2 separate regions of the Mus musculus genome follow, and region 2 is reported to be linked to region 1. Evidence: microRNA targets listed by miRTarBase, many of them from high-throughput screens and not tested one by one. Region 1 holds a microRNA gene; the other region holds the end of a gene's coding sequence.
The links. The annotated mature microRNA mmu-miR-497a-5p reads CAGCAGCACACUGUGGUUUGUA and lies in region 1 at 3,238-3,259, opposite strand. An mRNA with a match to its seed (bases 2 to 7 or 8) in the 3' UTR can be bound and repressed. Matches are read on the target gene's strand: a 7mer-m8 pairs with bases 2 to 8, a 7mer-A1 pairs with bases 2 to 7 and ends in A, and an 8mer does both.

Region 1 (8,288 bases):
CTTCCTCCGCGCGGCGAGGCCCCTTGAGTGACTGGGGAGAGGTCGGGTCTCGGCCAATCAGCTGCAGGGAGGGCGGGACTTCCTGCGCGGGAGCCCGAGCGGCCGGCTGCCGGGCTCTCCGTGGTTTCCAGCTCGCGTGGTGGTGGTGGCGGCGGAGCGTCTCCGTGAGGAGGTGCGCGGGGCCATGACGTCAGCGTCCACCAAGGTTCGACCTCCCTCGCGGACTGCGCTCCCTGGCGGCCACGGGAGGGTGGGCCCCCTGCCTGGCTCCCGGCTGGTGCGCGCTGGGCGGGGGGCGGGCGGATCCGAGGCTGGGGTGGGACGGCGCGCTGCCGGCCCCCCGTAATGCTGCTCCGCCCCCAGGTTGGAGAGATCTTCTCCGCGGCCGGCGCCGCCTTCACGAAGCTCGGGGAGTTGACGATGCAGCTGCATCCAGTCTCGGACTCTTCCCCTGCCGGGTACGTGAGACCAGCCTAGGACCTGGACTCCGAGATCAGACGCTTGGACTCAAGTCACAGACACGACCCTCTCTAGAGCAGGGAGATAGAGTAATTCCCCTGTGCCTGGCCCAGCTCAGTGTAGGTGGTAATTGTTGAATTAGTGGATGACAGGTAAAGAGACTACCGAGGCCACAGCCCTCCACTGCAAACCGACAGAATGTCTGCCACCTACCCCAAGCCCTGTGGACTCCCTCAAACTGCTGCCACACATCTTTCAAGGGTTGTGTTTGTAAGGCCCCTACTTGTTTCATTGGTTTCCGTTGGGTTGTTTATGGAAGCTGTTACATGATGAAGTGATGTTTTCAAGTGGCCCTGGATGTAATTTCATGTGGCCAGCGATTTGTCCCCAGGGCTTTTTTTTTTTTAAAAGGAGGTCCTTTTTATGAATCTTTGAAAGGTGCCCCTAGAGACTAGGGGGAAGAGGCTGCTGGCTGTGGACGGAATAGCCTGTGGGCTGGTTCCACACATCCCTCTTCCACTTTTGTTATCACCCTTCTCCCCTTCCGACAGTGCCAAGTGGACGGAGACGGAGATAGAGATGCTGAGGGCTGCTGTGAAGCGCTTTGGGGACGATCTTAATCACATCAGCTGTGTCATCAAGGAACGGACAGTGTGAGGGAGGGTGGCTGGCAGAGAAAGGGGAGGGTGGGCAACTTTCTTCCTCCTGACCCATTGTTCTCTCTCAGAACTCCCAGCTCAGCATCTTTCCTACTTTGTTCCTAGTTTTGTTAGCATTTCCTTGAAGACTGAGAGACTGTCACTGTGGCAGTTGGTCGGAAGATCAGGAAATGCAGTGGTCACTAGGGCCTGCAGAGAACTTTATTTTCATGGTGCCCAGATACTCAGTGGTTGTGTTTGATGATAAGAGTTCCCTAGCTATTTATGTAAATCCTTTGAAACTGGCATGTCCAGGGGATGCATTCTGAACTAATTAGTTGGTCAGGTTCTATGACAGTCTCAGTCTACCTTTATGTCACCACAACATACCTGGTGGTCCTACAAAACCATGCATCTCTCCCAGAGGATCATGAAAAGGGCCTTTCTGGCCACTCAGTTCAGGGACTCCATTCATCTTAATCTATTAGCCCTAAGTGGATGCAAAAGTTCTGAACGTGGGGGGGGGGGGGAGGACCCTTATTACACATGAACTGGGGCCTTGACCTGGATATCTACAAAGGAACTCCTAGAATTCCTTCAGAGTGGCCCATTATTCCCTCCCCTCCCCTCTTCCCTCGGCTTCTCTGATGACACCCTAATCTGCTCTCTCTCATCTTCAGGGCTCAGATAAAGACCACTGTGAAGCGAAAAGTGTATGAAGACTCCGGCATCCCCCTTCCAGCTGAGTCACCCAAGAAAGGACCCAAGAAGATGACGTCCGGTGTCCTCTCACCTCCAAACGCCCCTCCACCCAGCAGCTCCAGTGTCCCTGAAGCTGGGGTTCCTCCCATAAAGAAACAGAAGGCTGGTGAGGGCTGTGGAGTTGCTGCCTAGGGTAGGGGTTAAAGGTCCTATCTGAGATTCAATAAGAGAATTGGGCCTGGGTCAAAGAAGGAGAGACGCTTCTCTTCTGTACGCTGGTGATTCCAGAGTGGGTAGAGGGATGTGTAGAGCATGAAGCTTTGGCAGACTGGGAGGAGGGAAAGACAGCAGTCAGGGAAACCTAGAACTTAGCCTATGCCCCCTCCCAGATGTGACACTCAGTGCTCTGAACGACTCCGACGCCAACAGTGACCTGGTGGATGTCGAAGGGCTAGGAGAAACTCCTCCAGCCAAGAAACTCAACTTTGACCAGGGTAGGAGTCCTCCTCCTCCCACGCTGGCTGGGGGTGGGGAACATACTCACCTGGATGGTAGGGGAGGGTCCCCACAGAAAACCCCTTTCTGGTGCAGGGGCCTCAGAAGGAAGATTCAGTGCAGGGGAATGGGTCAGTTAGTAATACGGCGTTTGAGGAGGTGAGGGTTTTCTTGGAAAAATCCTCCACGCTTGCTCCATCTCTGTCCGTTTTCCTTCCTGTTCCAGACAGCCTGACCCTGGACTCTGGCCTCCTCACCACCTCCGCTGATGCTCCTCTCCTCTCCTGCTGAGCCTTCCACCTCTGACCCTCATTGTTCACCCTGGACCTGTGGATCACCTGGGACTCTAAGCAAGGACTGCCTGAGAGAGGGTCAGAGGGCTGCTGGAGCCATCCACCTCGTTCCTGATAACCATGTGCCCTCGCCCTTTGACTTCTGTGTGATGGACATTTTTATACAGAAAATTATAATTAAAAAAGATTCTCTCAACATGGTGCTGCCAGCTGCCGTTCCCTCTCCTCTGCTTCGCCCTCGGGGCTTGGCCCCTTCTCAGTAGCTCTCACCACCCTGCCTGGAGCAGCACAGCCAATATTGGCAGACTCACTTCCCCATGCCAATATTTCTGTGCTGCTAGAGCCAGGAGAGTTGGGTGTGGGCAACAAAGACTCTACTTTGCTCTGTGGGGCCAGAACTCATTACCAGGGTTCCTGATAACTGGTATCAGACAACCTGGGGGTTGCAGAGGGGCTCTTTCCAGTGTCTCCTGTCCCACCTTGCAAGAACTTCATCACAATACCCTAGACGGTGTGTGTGTGTGTGTGTGTGTGTGTGTGTGTGTGTGTGTGTTGCTTCTCCAGGGTGGCCTCCCAGGGCCAGGCTCATCGGTGCCTCCCATACCCTCGCTCTAACACCACAGTGTGGTTTGGACGTGGCCACAGTGCCGTACAAACCACAGTGTGCTGCTGGGGCGGGGGCAGGACTGGGGTGGGTCGAGAGGAAGACAGCACAGGCAGTGCCGTGAAGACCCCCACCTAGAGTGAGACAGAGGTGTGAATGGCAAACATGGCCCCCCAAAAAAGCTGGGGGGGGGGAACAATCAGGAACCAGCAAAAGTAGTTTAGCAGGCAAAGGATAGGGCCCTGGCAGATGAGTCCAATGTGATAAGCTTGGAGCATTCTTCACCTCTGTAGGAATTCAGCTCTGGGGATCCTTAGGAAACGGGATGACTGGGGAAGACCAACAAACTGCCTCCCACAAAGGCAGGGACCTAAGGTTTCCTGTGTCCATTCCTCCCTCCCTAGGTCAGAACCCAAGAGAAATGCTGGAAGACACAGGGCCAAGGACAGCAGGGTTGGGAGTTGGCAGTCCAGAGGTGGTGGGGCTGGAACACGGTTGAGAGAGGGGGGCCGGAAGTCGCCCTGGGCCCTGGGCCTGCCACAAGATGGAGGCCAAAGGCAGGAAATGGAGGCCAGGGAGAAAGGGATGCAGCAGAGCCCAGGAAGAGGCTCATCTGGACCAGAGGGCAAAGTATTCAACCCCAAGTGCTGCTTCCATTCCCCATGGTCCCCCAAGACCCACGCCCCACCCACACAGCAACACTCATTAGCCCATTCACCAGGCCCAGGCAAGCAGGCCCACCCCTGAGAGCCACGTTTAAGCAAAGACAAACATGCCTTTTCCCCACCCCCAACCCTAGGCCTTCCCATAGCCCTTTCCTCCTGTCCAAGACTTGATTTTAAAAAGAACCTCCCAGAAGGCAAAAGTTTCTTCTGGAAATTTCAAAACAAAACAAAACTCTGTAAACCCTAGATATTAACCTCCCATATCTCATCCCACCTTTTAGCACCACCAGGCTTCCGACACACCCCCCCAAAACTCTTAGCAATCAAAAGATTTAAGATGGTGTGTGAAGCAATCTTTTTAGGCCCCCCTAGTATGCCAGACCCTCTCCAAGACTACCAGATCACCTATATCAAGCCCTGCCAACGCCTCCTGCTCCTTGCACCCTCCTGGACCCCCAGAAACAACTGCTGTCCCCCAGCTCCCATCCCAGCAAAGCTTTTGTGGGGCTAAAAAAAAAAAAAAGCAAACACTGTCCTAATGTCTGTAGGAATATTGGGGGCTCTCAAGTCTCAAGCTTTGGTTTCAGTATGAGGTGCTACGTCTTAGGGGTACAAGAGAAAGCTTCTCTGGTCATCCCCCCAATTTCAAGAGTTACAAGGCGCAACCCCACCCCAGCACGCACCTCCAAACCTCCCCCCCAACCGCCACGTCTCTCCTGAAAACAGGGGACACTTTCCTCCCCACTTACCTCAGCTACTCTCCCCTGAGATCCTGGTCCCCTATTTTGAAAGGAGCAAATTTTGGGGTGCATCCCTCACATTTGGGGTGCAGGAGAAAAGAGACGCCCCAGTCGCATCGCTGGCCTCCTTCCTCTCAGCTGGCTCAAGGACTGGGGAGTGCCCTGGGGTGGGGGACCCCCACAAGAGAGCTCTGGAGGGGTTCCTCCACTCCCAGTCAGAACTGGGGACACCCCCCCAAAACCCGTCCCAGCCCATCCGTCTCCAACTCGGCGGGAGAGGCAGCTGCATTGCCCCAGTCAGATTCCCCCAACACTACATTCCTCACCCCATCTAGAGGGATCCCGGGGCCCCCAAAAAATCCCAAAAAAATCTAGGATGTTGGGAAGATGGTCCTGAACTAGCTACCCAAATTTGGGGTCCTTAGATACCCCCGTTTTTTCAGGAAAATTCTGTCTTTCTCCTGCCTCCCGCCAGCCCTGCTCTGTCCCGATGCCAATTTTGGAAGTCACTCCCTCCTTCCTCCTCCCCGTTTCTCCAGGCCCCCCCGCTTGGGGGCTAGGGTCCAGGACACCTGGTTTCCAGACCGGGGGACACTCTTTAGAAGGCTAGGGGCCAAGAGGTCAAGCTCATTGCCCCTGTCTCAAGGAAGCAGGAAAGCCCGATCCTCCCCTCCCCTCCCCTCCCCCCTGGCTGGTCTCGGTGGTGGTTTAGGAAAGCCTGGAGGACTGGAATCTGCCATTGCTATTGCACAGGCAGTTTTTTTTTCCTTGAGTTGGGGGGGTGGGCGGTGGGAGGGAGAGAGGGGAGGAGAGCCGAAGAGAGCAGGGACCTAGGCGGGAATATCTGGCCTGGCTTACCCTCTAGCCCCTGCTGCCGTTGGAAACCCCTCCCCCGCCTCTCAGTTCACCCTCATTCCCAATCCTCTGTCTGCTTTCTCTTTGGGGCTCTTATCTTAAAATATCAGGGTGCAAGATTCACCCCCCCCTTGTAGACCATCACAGCCTTTCCTTGCCAGTTTCAGCAGCACTGTTAGTCAGAAAGTACCCACTTTAACAAGAGACACCCCATCTCCTCCAAACGGATTTTTTCTTCCATAAGAAATCGGGGTTCAGAGTATGAAGCCACCTTTCCCCCCTTAGCACAACAGGTCATATTCCAGTGAGTCTATGATGGACCACACTGCTTTTTCCAGGCTTCACCCTTCAAATTCTGGCCTTATTTGGGGGTTCACTAATTTTTTTTACAATCTGGGGTGCCAGGGGACTATCAGCAAAAGATAACCTAAGTCAGAAGTGTGCTTTAGAATAGGTGAACCTCCAAATCAATTTCAATTTATGACCCACCTCTCAGCTTCACCAAATGTGGCCAGTGGCAAAACACCCAGAAACTGGATACCCCCCAAACTATCCTTCTACCCTGGGGGGGCTTCTCAATTCTCTCCTGTGGAGGAGTTTCACACATAAACATGTTCACAGGAATATCCAACCCTCAAAATGAGTTTCCACAAGATTCAAATACAAAACTTTGCCCCCCCATCAATCAAGCTCTCAGCTACAGAAAGCCTTCAGATCCTCTCCTAGCTTCTGGCTCTGCCACCAACTCAATGTAACTGGGCTCTCTAAAAAGCCCCAAGTTGACCTTTATGTCCCCAAACAATCTCATCCAAACCTTGAAACAGCACTTGGAAAGAGACTATGTCCCCCAAATTAGTTGCGTACTCATGCTCCCCCAGTAGACCAGAAATTAGAGATGGACAGTCTCACATGGGAGCATCAAATCCCTCCAAACCCCCGAACTAAGACATCTTTAAAACCAGCCCCGCACCTCCAATTTGCTATCAGCTGTCGAGACTAAAAACAGGCCTTATTGACTACAATAACTTCTATGGCAAGTGACACCCCAAAACTCAGAATAGCTAACTCTGTCCTGACATCAAAGCCCTTAATGTTTTCACCTCAAATTTGGAGATGAAAATTGGATAGAGACCAAATAATCTTCACAAAGTAAAGCCACATCGTCATCCAGGGTCCCTAGCTATCCCCAACCCCCAGTTGGTTTGCAGTTTTGTTTGCTACGTTTGCTTAAAAAAAAAAAAAATCAAAACCAATAAAACAAACAAAATGTACTCCACCCCCAAGAACAGAAGGGAGAGGCCTCAGGCCTAGATATGCTGGTCCATTCTTGCACAACTGCTATGCTCCAAACCCCAAACTCAAAGAGCTCCTGCTTTGTACCTGGGTTCAGCTCTGCCCCTCTTCTTCAAAGGAAACTTGTCCTTCTATCCCAAGGCTCCCCAAACAAAATCTAAGGGTGTGGTCCCTGCCTAGCTTCTGAATGAAGTACTTAGCTACCAGGTTCCTCCTGCCCTTTCTCCTCTGTCCTCTCTGTTTACTCCGACCAATGCTCATATTAATGTTCATTGAAAATTCCTGTCTACAAACATCTGGGTAGAAGGGTCTATCAAATTAGAAAACAAAACAACTGTGTTCCCAGGCTCAAGACCCCATCTCATCCTAACCACTATGTTCATTCCAAAGCCTTCCATAAGAGTTCTAGCCTGAATTTCCTGCGGAGACCCTAACTCTTCTGTCTTCGATCTACTGCCCCACAAAGAGACAGAGGTGCAGAGGAAACTATCAGAAAGAGAAGGCAGCTGAAAGTTTCCTGTAGCCTGGACCGAATGCATCCAGCTCACTGGTCTGAGCACATCACCAGCCAGGAGACCTAGGGGCGAAGCGAGGCTGGTGCTCGACCGCCCTCTCGTGGAAGGATGCAGACATTGCCGAGCTTTGCCTACTTGCCGCGCTGGACCCCGGCGTCCCGCCAGACTCTAAGCGCAGCCGACGGGCGGGTGCTCGAAGCCCTAGTAAGCTAGGACTGATGGAGAGCGTCAGGGCTTTAGGCGGGAGTCTGTATCTCTGGATCCCTATAAGGGTTGAGAAGAGAGTCGAGAGTAGGAGGCCGGACGCCTAGGTCTCCCGAGCGTCTCTCGGTCCCCACCCGGGGTTTTCCCCACCTCCTCGAGGGGAAGCAGCTGCAGGAGCCGTCCGGTCTCAGGACAATGGAAGGAAACGAACTAGAAATCATATCCGCCCTCTCCTTACCCCGCCTGGTCAGAGCTCCACCTCCCCCTTTTCTGGACCTTGCCTGTCAATCACTCCTCCTTCTCCCACTATCTGAGATCCACTGGAGTCCACTAATGCCTCCCCAAACCCGATACCACTTGGACTGTCTATTTTCTTCCTGAGTCCAATACATTAGAAAGAGGAGTTTTAGGATATTTCCTTTCTCCCTCAACTGGCTGTTGGCACACGCCTCCAAAACCCAACACTCCAATACTCGCTGTCCCAGCTCCTTCGACGACATAAGCCTCCCATATTACCACCCTCCGCACCACTAACCTCCCCAATTCTAATATCCTCATCCTCGGGTGCTTATTTAATGAACCAAAGCCATCCACGATACGACCACCCCGAGATTCTGAGATACAGTTTGAAACGGAGACCCCGCCCCGGGCTCACCATCTGGAGAGCCTCAGAGGAAGGAAGGATACAGACTCACGGGTTCACCCCACCTCCACCCCCGCCCCCGCCATCCCGGCTGAATAAAGGAGCAGAGACCGAAAGAGGAGAGAGACCCCGCCCCCCTCGAGAAGAGAAGCCGCAGCCCCTGCGGGACAGGGGTAAGAACC
Region 2 (5,644 bases), not on the chromosome of region 1:
GGACTCAAGGAGGTGGGTGAATGGAAGCAGTTCCAGCTGCCTCCGTCCAAGCCTGTCTCTGTCCTCACCTTTAACGCAGGAGGGAAAGCCTTTCCTGTAGCTGTGCCAACAGTAGCCGTGCTGTCTAGTGACATAGGCAGTGTGTGCTGTGCTATAGTACAGAACCCAAATGGCCGACTGGCCAGGGCAGTGGCGTTGCCGTTTCTAATTTGCATTGATGTCTAACATGTGTGTAATAAGCTAAGCCCATCGTTAGCAGTAGCTCTGGCTCGGACAGTAGGGACAGAGGAAAGCAAGCTGCCTCTGTGGCTGCCTGGACCTGCTGAAGGCGCAGAGGCTCTGTGTTGAAAGCTCCTTTCCCTTGCAGATTGAGGCCTGCAATAAGGAGGCAGAGAAAATCGAGTCCCTCATCAACTCCGACAGCCCCACGCTGGCGTCCCACGTCCCACTCTCGGCCCTCATCATTTCCCAAGTGCAGGTCTCCAGCAGTCTCCCGTCATCTGCTGTTGTGGGCAGGCCTCTCTTCCACTCCCTGCTCCTCCTCCTCAGCCTGGGCCTCACCGTGCACTTGCTCTGGACTAGACCCTGACCACCCACAACTGGGAGGAACTGCAAAGCCTTCCTCCACCCAGCCGTCCACCTTGTGAAAGACATTCAGGACTGCTAGCTGGTGACCAAGCAAAGGCATGTGGCACCTCTTAGCACCACACAGTATTTTTTTCACCTGCCAATATTAGGGGGTTTGCCTTGGTTTATAAAATGGTAAATTAGACTCTCCCAATATAATGAAGATGATGCCTCTTCCTGGTGGATCCCTGGCCAGTTCACACTCGCTCAGTAGATGGCCCCCCTTCCCCAAAGCAAATTTAGCATCCCTGATCAATGGCATGGTCACTTTATAGGAGGCAGCCCCCTTTGTCCTTGGGTGGGTGCCCTGGTCTCCTCAGAGTTCCTGTGAGTGCTGAGGCCGCCATGTGCTTGTTTCTGTGTCTGGAGGCTGAGGGCTCAGTGAAAAGCCGCTACCTGCCATGACAGGGCGGGCCGGAGGAGAAAAACATCATTGAATTCTCACTAGCTCATAGGCTGACTCCATAGAAATGTAAGGCAGGACTCTACTCTGCTTAGCAAAAGCAAGACGACCAAGTGACACTCGTGCCTGTCTCACACTTGGGCCTCTCAGCAGTTGTCATTTGTGCCTGTGAGTGGGGGCGGCCCCACAACATCCAAGCATCTATGTCATGCCTGCCGTGTTGTGTTAGCCAGATACACTCGCCAGTACTCACCAAGTCCACAGGTTTAAAGGTCAGACTTTAAACCACTTGCTGCTACTATATAACTGCCAAAAAGTAAGATTATTAGGAGTTCATGTAAATAGTACATGATTTTTTATTTTATTATGAAGGTGAATAGCCATATTTGTAAAATGACAATCATGTGTGTTAGCCCCATACTTTCATGAAGACACATCTGCTTTTTGTAATGTGCACAGTGTGGATAAGTGTGTGTCCGACTTTCCTTTGATATAGAATTATAAAGAATGTGGTTTATATATTTAAAATATCAGGCTAAATAGTAAAATGTTTGCATGTTGTCTAAGAAATTGGATACTTTGAATGTTTTACAGTTTGAAATAAGCTATTAATGTAATACTTCCTGTTTGTATGCACCTGAACTTAGATTTTACATGAAGTATTTTTCAGTGTTATATGTACCCTCTGAAATATAGCAATATGCTTATTATACCAAAATGTTGTTGAAAGTGGGCACTTAATGCTTTCAGAGGATCTCAGTGCCGATGTCGATGTACCTCTGTCACAGTTGCCTGTTTCTGTCTAAATGTTTTCAACATACTAGACTATATTATATGTATATTCTCTATATAGTATACCACAATATACTATATATATTCTATATATAGTATACAGCACTATACTAGAAAGCCTTTCTATTTTAATAAAAGTAATTTTATATGATTATTTGTACTTCCAAGCAATGTGAACATTGAGAATGAAACAGTTCCTTACCCTTAAGTGAGTTGTGTCTTTACTGTACAGGGAGAGGTCCTGGAGTGACATCCTCCCAAGCCAAGGCCTGTAGGAGAGGGAAGCAGTGCTCGGCCAGAGAGCAGAGTCCGGTGCAGACTGCAGCTTCCGAGACAGGAACAGACAGGCAGGTCTACTCCCTTGGCCTCGTGCTGCAGCTCCAGGATACATTTGGGGACAGATGACTGTGCGGGTCTCCCAGTGAGGGCCTGCTCATCCCATCAGTTACTTAGGATAAGCGCACCAGCCCTGTCGTGTCCCTCATCCAAAGCTGCAGCTGTCCCCAACACTGTCCCATTGCTGTGTCCTTACAGAAGGGAGAAAAACCCAGAGCCACAGCTATTCCTGAAGTCTCCACTCCCAAGTGCCAGTCATTTCTGCTACATTTTAGTGGTCAGAGGAAGTCACATGACTGCTCCTGAGCAAAACTTCTGGGTGGGAATATAAAATATTCCCGGGGTGGTGGTGTCTGCGTCTTGGGGAGAAGTAATGAGTGTTTTGAATGATGCAGTCCTCATGAGGACAGACAAGAGCCAGGACTGGCTGGGTTTCTCTCAGAAGGGTGGGTACGGCATGCTATGGCCTGGGAGTCGGGTTGGGTTTGGGCAAGGGAATATATAAAGGAGAGATCTAAAGCTGATCCTGCCCTGGGACTGTAATCACACGAGCTGCCAAATGGTGATAGACTCAGGTTAGCTTGGGGCATAATGTCCTCAACAGCCCTTGTGCTTAAGTGGACATCCAGCTGCCTCGTGCACAGATCATAATGGCTCCCCGGCCACCGAGCAGATGGAGTTTTTGCTGGGACACCCCCACCCCTACCCCAGCAGTAATCCTGAGATCCACAGGCAGAAAAGTAAGCTGAGGAGAGATTCCTGTGCCTTGAAGCTTACAGGCAGAATGCAGGGGAAAGGCCTGCTGCAGGAGGAAGGCAGGTTGGCTGAGGTAGCGGTATGAAAAGGACCTGCCTTCCATCTGTAGCTTGGGTCATAGTCACAGACCTTCAGTGTTCTAGCATGCAGATAAGGTGGCAAGAGCCACAGGGAGCCCCTTCTTTCAGCAGTGGCTTTTATGGGTAAGAACTGTTTCTCAGAACCATCTCCACATGCATCCACATTTCTCTGTGGCTGGCAGGGTCAAGCTCCCACGCTCGTTACTGGCCAAGGGGAGTGAGGGCCCTAACTGGCTTAGTCAAGGGGGATACTGCTGCGTTAGAACCAGTGCGGCCCTGCAGTGTCCGTAAGTTAGATGGCAAAGAGCTGCTGCTTTAGCTGCAAACTCCACTTCTTGAGTACACAACCTGGTTCCGTTCGTCTCTGCAGTCTCTGCCTACTAGAGTCTTACTATGAAAACACTTTATTTTTTCCAAGGAGAAGAAGAAGTGACCATTCTGGCTTTGCTGTAGGCACCTCTGTCTCCAGCCAAGCTGTAGACCCCACACACCTCTCCTGTTCCAGAATTGCATTCAATAGTGTCCGCTAGATAGACAGCCTCTTGTCTTTCCTTAAGTCTCCCCTCACCTGGAAGACACTTGGAGGCCCTGTACAGTTGTCCCCTGAGATGGGACAGCTTGTGTTTTGTGTCTCACCTTCCACTGGGAGAACTGTCACATGATAAATGATGAAGAAGAATCAAGATTCCTGACCCATTTCCTCAAGGCTGTCCAAGGCTTCTTGTCATCTAAGCACCGTGCCAAAATTCTCAGTGAGTTCTCTCCTGGGGTTCTCATCCTCCTCAGCATTTCTGATACCACACAGTTGATACAACTAAGATCTTATGTTAGGGGTGTGGAGAGATGGCTCCGCGGTTAAGAGCACTCATAGCCCTTGCAGAGGACCCAGGTCTAGGCCCAGCAACAACAAGGTGGTTCACAATCATCTGTAACTCCAGGTCCAGGGGTCCAAAGGCCCCTCTTCTAACCTCTGTGAACTCCTGCACACATGTGACACATGCACACACACACACACAGACATACACAAAATAAATGTTTTCTTTTTCAAGAAGACTTGACCTCAGATACTGTCTTAGTCAGGGTTTCTATTCCTGCACAAACATCATGACCAAGAAGCAAGTTGGGGAGGAAAGGGTTTATTCGGCTTATACTTCCATACTGCTGTTCATCACCAAGGAAGTCAGGACTGGAACTCAAGCAGGTCAGGAAGCAGGAACTGATGCAGAGATCATGGAGGGGTGGTGCTTACTGGCTTGGTCCTTATGGCTTGCTCAGCCTGCTTTCTTATAGAACCAAGACTACCAGCCCAAAGATGGTCCCACCCACAAGGGGCCTTTCCCCCTTGATCACTAATTGAGAAAATGCCTTACACTTGTATCTCATGGAGGCATTTCCTCAACTGAAGCTCCTTTCTCTGTGGTAACTCCAGCTGTGTCAAGTTGACACAAAACTAGCCAGTACAGATACCTAAGGAACGTTGGGAGTAGGAAAAATAGCCTTCCCCAGGGAGGCACATGAGTTGGTTATCCTATACCAAATTGTCAGCCCGGAAAACTTAGATACATGTAACATTATACAGACTGAGCAGGTTGTATTTTGGAATATATGTGTATACACATATACATATATGCATGTGATTGAATAATAACACACTAAATTGCATATTATAACACCATTGAAAAGAAGAGGCCGTGGGCTCAGGAGAGGTAGCCCTATGCCTTGGCTGGGCAGCACGGGAGAGCTGACCCTGGATGGTGTTGCTCATTGGAGAGCTGGTAGGCTGACCAGTTTAGCTACCCTCCAGGCTCAGATCCAGGGCTTTGAGTTGGTCCACCCCAACATCTACCCCATCTATGACCTGCTAGAGTGTGTGAAGGGGCCGGTCTTCCAGATCCAGAGCTGCAGGATCTCCACCACACATGGCAACCACAGAATATCTGAGAAGAGTCTCAGTGAGGATCCTGTATTGAAAGTGTAACAGAAGCCAGAGGCCTTGAGCCAGACCAATGACTCACTGCGGTGAACATTTATTTGCAAGTAAAGATGTGTGGACAAAAGGGTGTACTGTGGGGCACACTGCAGCTCCCATGGCAAGAATGTTTTTTGCTTGTCTGTTTTCTTTTGGCAGGAAGGTTGCAAGGTGGGGGGAGGCTATCAAGTGATAGGGGTGAATGGGGCTGGGTATGGGATATGAAATTCACAAAGAACAAAAAGTGTATTTTTACAGGCTATGAATTTGAAAGAGAACAAGGAGCGGTATGTGGAAGGTTTCGGAGGGAGAAGGGGGAAGGGAGAGGTCATGTGATTATACTTTCAAAATTTTTAAAAATAAAAGGTTTTAAACTAATAACAATTTATGATATAAAACTGGGAAAGGAAGGAATTATTAATCAATTGTCTTATCCTTCAAAAATACAAATCAGAGCCAGGCAGTGCTGGCGCACACCTTTAATCCCAGCACTTGGGAGGCAGAGGCAGGCAGATTTCTGAGTTTGAGGCCAGCCTGGTCTACAGAGTCAGTTCCAGGACAGCCAGGGCTACGCAGAGAAACCCTGTTTCAAAGAAAAAAACACAAACAAACAAACAAACAAAAAATACAAATCAAATGATATAAAAAGAAGAACTTGAGAAATTTAACATACTAGTTAAA

Region 2: the mRNA of Reck is a reported target of mmu-miR-497a-5p. Seed matches in the 3' UTR shown: 8mer at 1,321-1,328.

What each region holds. Positions count from the first base shown.
Region 1 is chr11:70,229,701-70,237,988 of GRCm38, reverse strand. It overlaps Mir497 (microRNA 497), which reads right to left and starts at 3,272; the gene lies at 3,189-3,272. 0610010K14Rik (RIKEN cDNA 0610010K14 gene) reads left to right here and starts at 75. Exons shown (of 6, transcript NM_145758.1): 1 at 75-205; 2 at 364-458; 3 at 1,011-1,112; 4 at 1,778-1,965; 5 at 2,189-2,293; 6 at 2,525-2,785. The coding sequence starts at 185. The coding sequence ends at 2,529. Mir497b (microRNA 497b) reads left to right here and starts at 3,173; the gene lies at 3,173-3,297. Mir195a (microRNA 195a) reads right to left here and starts at 2,947; the gene lies at 2,854-2,947. It also overlaps Bcl6b.
Region 2 is chr4:43,942,777-43,948,420 of GRCm38, forward strand. It overlaps Reck (reversion-inducing-cysteine-rich protein with kazal motifs), which reads left to right. Exons shown (of 21, transcript NM_016678.2): 21 at 368-2,030. The coding sequence ends at 589. Among named protein-coding and RNA genes, the nearest start is that of Glipr2, 12 kb to the right of the region's middle.